Linked DNA regions of Callithrix jacchus. The protein of the gene in region 1 purifies or fractionates together with the protein of each later gene. This does not show direct contact. Links are inferred from orthologs where the notes say so. Each region holds a gene or a part of one and is shown in the gene's direction. Other genes may lie near its edges.

Evidence for each region.
Region 2: the proteins of USP13 (region 1) and BAG6 purify together in Homo sapiens (affinity purification with western blotting; 3 studies listed by BioGRID and IntAct, with this or other methods). This does not show direct contact. The link is inferred for Callithrix jacchus from reciprocal best matches to the Homo sapiens genes USP13 and BAG6.

Annotation. Positions count from the first base shown.
Region 1 is NC_133516.1:7,987,767-7,991,575, forward strand, and holds part of USP13 (ubiquitin carboxyl-terminal hydrolase 13), read left to right. Parts: intron 1-190; coding exon 191-313; intron 314-1,828; coding exon 1,829-1,855; intron 1,856-2,776; coding exon 2,777-2,920; intron 2,921-3,809. UniProt on the Homo sapiens protein: Deubiquitinase that mediates deubiquitination of target proteins such as BECN1, MITF, SKP2 and USP10 and is involved in various processes such as autophagy, endoplasmic reticulum-associated degradation (ERAD), cell cycle progression or DNA damage response.
Region 2 is NC_133505.1:39,152,114-39,156,512, reverse strand, and holds the start of BAG6 (large proline-rich protein BAG6), read left to right. Parts: upstream 1-1,520; 5' UTR 1,521-1,609; coding exon 1,610-1,641; intron 1,642-1,729; coding exon 1,730-1,850; intron 1,851-4,399. UniProt on the Homo sapiens protein: ATP-independent molecular chaperone preventing the aggregation of misfolded and hydrophobic patches-containing proteins.

The DNA of each region.
Region 1 (3,809 bases):
CCCACTGTACTCCCCGGGTTCTCCACTGATGCCCCACCAGTCTTCACAAGTCTGCTGGTTGAGAGACGTATTCTAGGGAGTTGAAAACATCCCTTGGCTCTGCCTAGACGCGTGCATGTAGTCCCCATGCTGGTGCTATAACAAGGTGACTGTGGACAGCCCCGCGAGTGTGATCTTTCTCCTTTTGCAGATGTTTCTATTGATATGCCAGACCTGCTTGATATCAACCACCTCCGAGCCAGGGGGTTGCAGCCGGGAGAGGAGGAACTTCCAGACATCAGCCCCCCCATCGTCATTCCCGATGACTCCAAAGGTACCATCTCCTGCCAGGAGAACACGCTCGACCCTCACACCGTGTCCTCTAGGAACACTCTCCCTTTCAGCACTCTGTTGCTGCTGCCACCACCCACGGGGCGTCTGGCCGCCCTCCTGTGATGTAACCCCCGCCCCCTCAGCACACTGCAGCAGGAAACATAAAATAGACATTGCAAGAGGCACAGACCCATCATGAGTGGTGGAAATGGACAGTGTTTTTCTGTAGGGTCTTAGTCTGGGAAGCTGTGTCATTGCATACTTGGGAATACCTTTGGACAACCCAAAGGGGAAATTCAACAGTATGAGTTGGTTTTAAAAACCGTGACGGCATCTCAACTCCCCAACTCTGTTACTGCTTTGGAGAAAGGAAGAGGTTTGAGTTTCTCTTTGACTTTGTGACCCTGTCACTGGTCACTGTTCAGAATACATAACTTTTTCGTGGAAAAAGAAATGCCAGAAATAGTTGCCTCACCTTTGTGGGTTCAAAAACAGTGTCAGGAAAATCTTAGTTTAATTATTAGCTCAGTTATCCTGATTGACTCAGTTTCATTCTGGCTTTGTTCGCTCGCCCGCTTACTGTCATCTGCCTGGTGGGTTACTCAGGTAAATTAACTCGCAACGACTGAGCAAACAGTCAGTGTTATTGCTCAGCATGATCAGGTATAAAGGAAGTGCAAGGTGAGTCTAGAAGGTACAGGATGGATTCAGATAGACGTCTGTGTATGTTCTCTGATGTTGGCTCAGATGCTAAGTCATAGAGAGAGAGTTAGAGAAGGGACGTTCTAGGTCACAGAGTTCAGGTGGTTCATTAAGGGGGTTGAGGAAGGATCAGCATCAGATAAACACAGGATGGCTCATTAGTGCTGCTCCGGCTCTCTCTGATGCTCATAATAGAATCTTCGGATTGTAGTTACATAAAGCTCTTAGAAATACAGACAGAGGCTGGATACAGTGGTGCACACCTGTAATCCCAGCACTTTGGGAGGCTGAGGTGGGAGGATCACTTGAGCCCAGGAGTTCAAAACCAGCCTGGTTAGTATAGTGAGATACTATCTCTGCAAAAAATAAAAAATTTAAAAATTAGCTAGGCGTGGTGACTGGTGACATGTGCTTGTAGTTCCAGCTACTCAAGAGGCTGAGTCAGGAGGCTCACCTGAGCCCAGGAGGTTGAGGCTGCAGTGAGCCACAATTGCTGCCCCACCCTCTGGCCTGGGCAGCAGAATGAGACCCTGTCTCAAAAAAAAAAGTTTTTTTCAAGAAGAAGTAATAGGGAGGTAATAGGGAAATGGTAGTTTGTTCAGATAATGATCGGAGCGTCGTGTTGTAACTGACCTAATGCCTGAAAGCTATTGCTTTCTCTCCTCACTGAGGCTGGGGCGGTCTGTGTGGGGTTGTGGGATTGACAGCAGTGTGTAGCTCCCCAGGAGTGGGGAGGGCACGGGGGGTACCCTGGATACAGCAGGTTTTCTTTTCCTAAATCTTCTCATTTTCTGTCCTCTCCCTTAATTTCCAGATCGCCTGATGAACCAACTGATAGACCGTATGTATCTTTAAAAATGTTTCTCAAGTCTTACTGTTATTAATCTGATGAACCTGTGTGTGAGAGTTCAGTACAGAGCCATTGTTCTGTACATCTGTATGTGCTGCTTTTCCCGGGTGGGAACGATTCTCTGTCCCCTAGTCAGTGACTTGCTGATCAGGTGGCCTGTGGGGCTCAGGAGAGTGACCATTAGCATGAGGCTAAGCAGTGGGTCAGAATCTTGGCCCGCCATTCCAGTTTTTCTCCTCTTTTGGTATAATTTGAGAGCAGTGTGTACGTGTCTGTATCCGTATGTATGCACAGATTCACACACATTTCTACAAGTATCTATATGTTATTAACAAAAGGAAACAAAGCTCTTTGTGTCTGAGCCTAAGTTACTTGGTAAATCTGTCTCTCAGTGTTTTAAACTTGCATAATTAAACAAGGAACTTTTTCCTTCTATACTTAACATTTGAACTCTCCATCTCCCAGAGCTGATTGCTTCCTGTGATTGCAGATGGATGTAAAGGCCTGCAGTGACTTTCTGTGAGGTTTAAGGAACAGGCTTTATTGGCTGTAGATAGTGCTTTCTCTTCAAGTTTCAGCCACAGGAGAGGCTGCTGGAGAGGTGTTGAGGATGCTCTGAAATCGTTTCGGAATTGTTTTTCTCTAATTTCCTATGGGGAGATTTAGTGTATTGCCAGATTGGATTGTCCAGATAATTAACCTGGGTCCTATTTGGGTCAAAGATATAAACTTAGCCCAAATAGCTTAATATTTGGATGGCTTACAACAAAACTAAACAGTGAAACCGTTATTTACACCCAAGAAAACAGCGCTTTCTTTGGGTAGTGTGTGGATGAGAGCGTGATGAGCAGCTACGACAAGAAGCAATAGTGTTTCCTTTTTCACACTAGCCTGTCCTGTTGTGCTCTGTAGCATCAGACATTGATGAGTCATCAGTGATGCAGCTGGCCGAGATGGGTTTCCCTCTGGAAGCATGTCGCAAGGCTGTGTACTTCACTGGAAATATGGGCGCTGAGGTGGCCTTCAACTGGATCATTGTTCACATGGAAGAGCCAGGTAGGTGGCGGGAAAACGGAATGGCTTTGGAGTGTGACGTGACCCTCAGTGATGCTACGTCCTGGTCCTTCCCTGGCCCCTGTGGATGTATCCCTAGAAAATGACTTTACAGTTGCTCATCTGCTGCAGCGGGGGGAGAAAGCTAGTCTTTGTCTTTCTCCTTTTGTTAAAAACAACAGCTTTATTGAGATATAATTCACCCCTTTAAAGTGTGTAAGTCAGTGGCAAGAAGACCAATAGAAAGATTTGGGGTGTGCTTCTAAGAAATGCTGAGAACTTGAAAGCATGGACATGAAGAAATGGAGGCTGTTTAGTTAGCTTTTTCTTTTATCTACGTTTTTAGGCTATAATGCATATATTCATTTATGGGGTACATTCCAGTGGTTTTTAGTAAATTCAGAGTTGTGCAGCCATGACCACTATCTAACTTTAGCACATTTTGTACCCTCTAAAAGAAACCTCGTGTATTAGCAGTCACTCCCCATTTTCCCACTCACCCTGGGAATCTGTTTTCTGGATCAAGGGATCTGCCTGTTTTGGACATTTCGCATAAATGGAGTCATATATATGAGATCTTTTGGGTTTGGTCTCTATCACAGCGTAATGTTCTCAAGATTCATCCATTTGTCGCATGTGTCAGTACTTTATTCCTTTTTATGGTAAAATAATATAGTCTATTGGGCTGGGTGTGAAGGCTCACACCTGTAATCCCTGCACTTTGGGAGGCTGAGGCAGGTGGATCACTTGAGATCAGGAGTTCAAGAGCAGCCTACTCAACATGTGAAACTCCATCTCTATTAAAAATGCAAAAATTGGCTGGGGATGGGGATGGGGGCAGGTGCCTGGAGTCCCAGGTACTTGGGAGGCTGAGGCAGGAGAATTGCTTGAG
Region 2 (4,399 bases), on another chromosome or scaffold:
CCTTAGTATGTGGGCTGGCAGAAGTGCTCATTAAAACAGCTGCTTATTAGAACTCTTAACTAAAATATAACCAGAACCTGGGTATAAACTATGAATCCCAGAAAGGCTGGGCACCCCAGCAACGATGTGCTTTCTGGAAGACTCGCAGTTTCGCGAGGCCGAGGCCCTTTTCTTAGGAAAGCTTAAAAGAAGAGGGCACGGAGAGGCGGTAATGCCTCCACCCCAGCCTTCGGAAGCACGTTGGCCGGCCTTTCAATTCCCCACCGTCAGGGTCTTGTCTTTTGGTCCACTCGGACTCCATTTGCTCCCAATTCTCAAACTCGGAGGCGCCTCATTTCTTGAAAAAAGTCCTGCGAGTTAGTAGCATGCTTAGTTTTCCTAAAACGTGTCATGTCCCCTTGGCCGCACACCGCCGACGAACGTGACACCCACAGCCCGCAAAACGCCCACCCGGCAGAACCGATATCTAGCCCAAACAACCAACCAAAACCCAAATACATCCTTGCCGCCCCCAAATGCCTACTGAAAGTAACTTCCGGTGGCGGAGAAAGAAGGGCGCAGCGAGGGCGATAGGGTCGGGAAGAGTTTTAGCTGGCTAGGACAGTGCCGCCTGAAATTCTCAGCCTGCCAAAATTTAAACATAGATTAATGTGGCATAATCCTCCATCTCCAAATCCAAGGTCCATGCGACCGTCCATAGCCCCTCTCGAAGCAGTGGTGGACTCCCATCTGGCGATTGTTTTTCAGGCATTTACAGTAGCCACCTCAATCTTCCAGCGCTCAAGAGCTCGCATAGGAGAAGCGAGAGCCGACAGAGGGGGGTGGAGCGGTGCTTCAGTGTGTACGCATACGTAGTGCAACGCACGCAGGCGTAGTACGGTCCCCTGGGCGACGGCGGCGGCGGCTCCTCGGGGTCCTCGGCTCCCTCCCACCTAGGCCGGCCCCGGCCCGACTCGCCCTCAGAAACTCACTGGGGCTGTGGACTTTCTCGTCGTGCCCCACAAAAGTAAAGCTTGGGGACCTGGGGGGAGCCGGAAGTATCGCCTTGAGATCCCCAAATACTATCGTGGAAACGGAAGTGGCCGTCGGTGGCAGGTTGGGGGAGACCGGAAGTGACGGTCCGTGGGGAAGTCGGGGGCGGAGCCGCGGGGTCGTTGGGTGTGTGTGTATGTGTGTGTGTGTGGTTGTGGTTGGCCGTAGGTTAGTTGTGCGGTTCTGCTGGAACACCGTGGGAAGGCAGTAGACGAGGGCAGTCAGCTAGCTCGTACGGCGCCCCGTGAGTGCCGTTTTGGGTCTAGTGAGTTAGGGTTCGACGGGCGTGGCGCGCGTGCGCGAAACCACTTTCTCCGCAGTGTGTGGCGCGACCCCCGCTTTCGCCTTGTCCCAGGATTTTGTGACCTCTGGGGCGTTTGTCCCGTCGTGACCGGTGATGACACTGGTCTCTGGTCTCGTGCTTTTTTCCTAATCTGACTGGCTCCCCCCTTATTGTGATTGGCATCGTGGAGCCCCTCCCACCTCTTGTCCTCCAGCTCCTATGCCGTCGATCTCCTGCCCTTTGTGTTTCTCTCCCTGTGCCCCGGAATTACAAGGGTGATGGGGGCAAGTGTGAATGTGTGTGTTTGTACAGGAGAAACTTTTTAGGTATTGGGGCAGGGATTAATGCTAGGGAGGCTTCCGGGTACACGCTGCTCTGGGAGACAACGGGCCTTTCTTCTTCATTCTTCTTTAGAGAGCTGTCGGCCATGGAGCCTAATGATAGTACCAGTACGGCTGTGGAGGAGCCTGACAGTTTGGAGGTGCTGGTGAAGACCCTGGACTCTCAAACTCGGACCTTTATTGTGGGGTCCCAGGTGAGACACCTTAGAAGTTCTGGAAGACACATTTAGATTTTCCTCTTTTAAGCCTCTTAGCCTGATTTTGTGGTCATCAGATTTTCTTTATTCTTTCTTTCTTTTTTTTTTTTTGGAGTTGGAGTCTCCCTCTGTCCCCCAGGCGGGAGTGCAGTGGCGCCATCTAGGCTCACTGCAACCTCCGCCTCCCTGGTTCAAGTGATTCTTCTGCCTCAGTTTCCCAAGTAGCTGGGACTATAGGCACCTGCCATCAGCCAATTTTTGTATTTTTAGTAGAGACGGGTTTCACCATATTGGTCAAGCTGATGTGGAACTCCTGACCTTGTGATTGGCCTGCCTCACTCTCCCAAATTGCTGGGATTACAGGTGTGAGCCATGGCACCTGGCCCTTTTTTTTTTTAATTTTTATTTATTTATTTAAAGATGGGGTTTCACCATGATGGTCAGGCTGGTCTTGAACTCCTTACCTCAGGTGATCCACCCACCTCGGCCTCCCAGAGTGCTAGGATTACAGGTGTGAGCCACCATGCCCTGCCTTTTTTTTTTTTTTTTTTGACATGGAGTCTTGCTTTGTCTCCCAGGCTGGAGTGTAGTGGCGTGATCTCAGCTCACTGCATCCTCCACTTCCCAGGTTCAAGTGTTTCTTCTGCCTCTACCTCCCAAGTAGCTGGAATTACAGCCACTACACCTAGCTAATTTTTGTATTTTTAGTAGATATGGGGTTTCACCATGTTGGCCAGGCTGATCTCAAACTCCTGACCTCAGGTGATCTGCCCACCTAGGCCTCCCAAAGTTCTGGGATTATAGGCATGAGCCACCACACCTGATCTCAGATTTTCTTTTCATTGATTCCTTTGTTTGTATTCCAGTGGAACGTTTTCTGATGTTTTGTGAGTGAGGCTGATTTTGTTCTGTCCTCCACATGGATAGAACTTAATGCAGAGGGAAACAGAGTGAGGAAGAATCTGTGTGTCATCATCCACCCCAAAGGGACAGACATGGCTCTGGCCTTTGGGAAGGGAAACAGCGCAGGGACCCTAAGCAAGTGTATCTTATTGATAGAAAATGGTCAGGTCTGTGCTGTGTTTTTAAAGGATAGAAATCAGAACTCATAATGGAGATTGAGCCTTGATAGACTGTTGAGGGAAATTACTAATTTTTGTGGCATAGCTTGAGTCTTTTGAGCTTAAAGCCTTGGACACAGCTATCTATATCTTTATTCCTGTAATAGAGACGAATTGCATGTGAGTTGGTCCGTGGTTTTCTAAAACATGGTATTAGCTGGATATAAGAAAGCCATATATAGAGTTGTAATTAGATGCGTGTAAACACTTTATCAAGAGTAAGTCTCTAGTTAGGAAAAACGTTTTTGTTTTTATCGCTACTTTTTTTTTTTTTTTTAAGATGGAGTTTTGCTCTTGTTGCCCAGGCTGGAGGGCAGTGGTGTGATCTCAGCTCACTGCATCCTTCGCCTTTTGGGTTCAAGCCATTCTCTTGCCTCAGCTTCCCAAGTAGATGGGATTACAGACGCTTGCCACCACGCATGGCTAATTTTTTTTTTTTTTTTTTTTTTTTTGAGACAGTTTCGCTCTTGTTACCCAGGCTGGAGTGCAATGGCGCAATCTCGGCTCACCACAACCTCCGCCTCCTGGGTTCAGGCAATTCTCCTGCCTCAGCCTCCTGAGTAGGTGGGATTACAGGCACACGCCACTGTGCTCAGCTAATTTTTTGTAGTTTTTAGTAGAGATGGGGTTTCACCATGTTGACCAGGATGGTCTCGATCTCTTGACCTCGTGATCCACCTGCCTCGGCCTTCCAAAGTGCTGGGATTACAGGCTTGAGCCACCGCGCCCGGCCAGCTAATTTTTTTATTTTTAGTAGAGACAGAGTTTTATCATGTTGGCCAGGCTGGTGTCGAGCTCCTGACCTCAGGTGACGAACCTGCCTTGGCCTCCCCAAGTGCTGGAGTTACAGGTGTGATGCGCCAGGTCCTTTTTTGCTACTTTCTTAGTTTTTCTTCTTTTTTTTTTTTTTGTTTTTGTTTTTGTTTTTTGAGACGGAGTTTCGCTCTTGTTACCCAGGATAGAGTGCAATGGCGCGATCTCGGCTCACCACAACCTCCGCCTCCTGGGTTCAGGCAATTCTCCTGCCTCAGCCTCCTGAGTAGCTGGGATTACAGGCATGTGCCACCATGTCCAGCTACTTTTTGTATCTTTTTTTTTTTTTTTTTTTTTTTGAGACGGAGTTTCGCTCTTGTTACCCAGGCTGGAGTGCAATGGTGCGATCTTGGCTCACTGCAACCTCCGCCCCCTGGGTTCAGGCAATTCTCCTGCCTCAGCCTCCTGAGTAGCTGGGATTACAGGCATGCGCCACTGTGCCCGGCTAATTTTTTTGTAATTTTTAGTAGAGACGGGGTTTCACCATGTTGACCAGGATGGTCTCAATCTGTTGACCTCGTGATCCACCCGCCTCGGCCTTCCAAAGTGCTGGGATTACAGGCTTGAGCCACCGCGCCCGGCCAATTTTTTGTATCTTTAGTAGAGACGGGG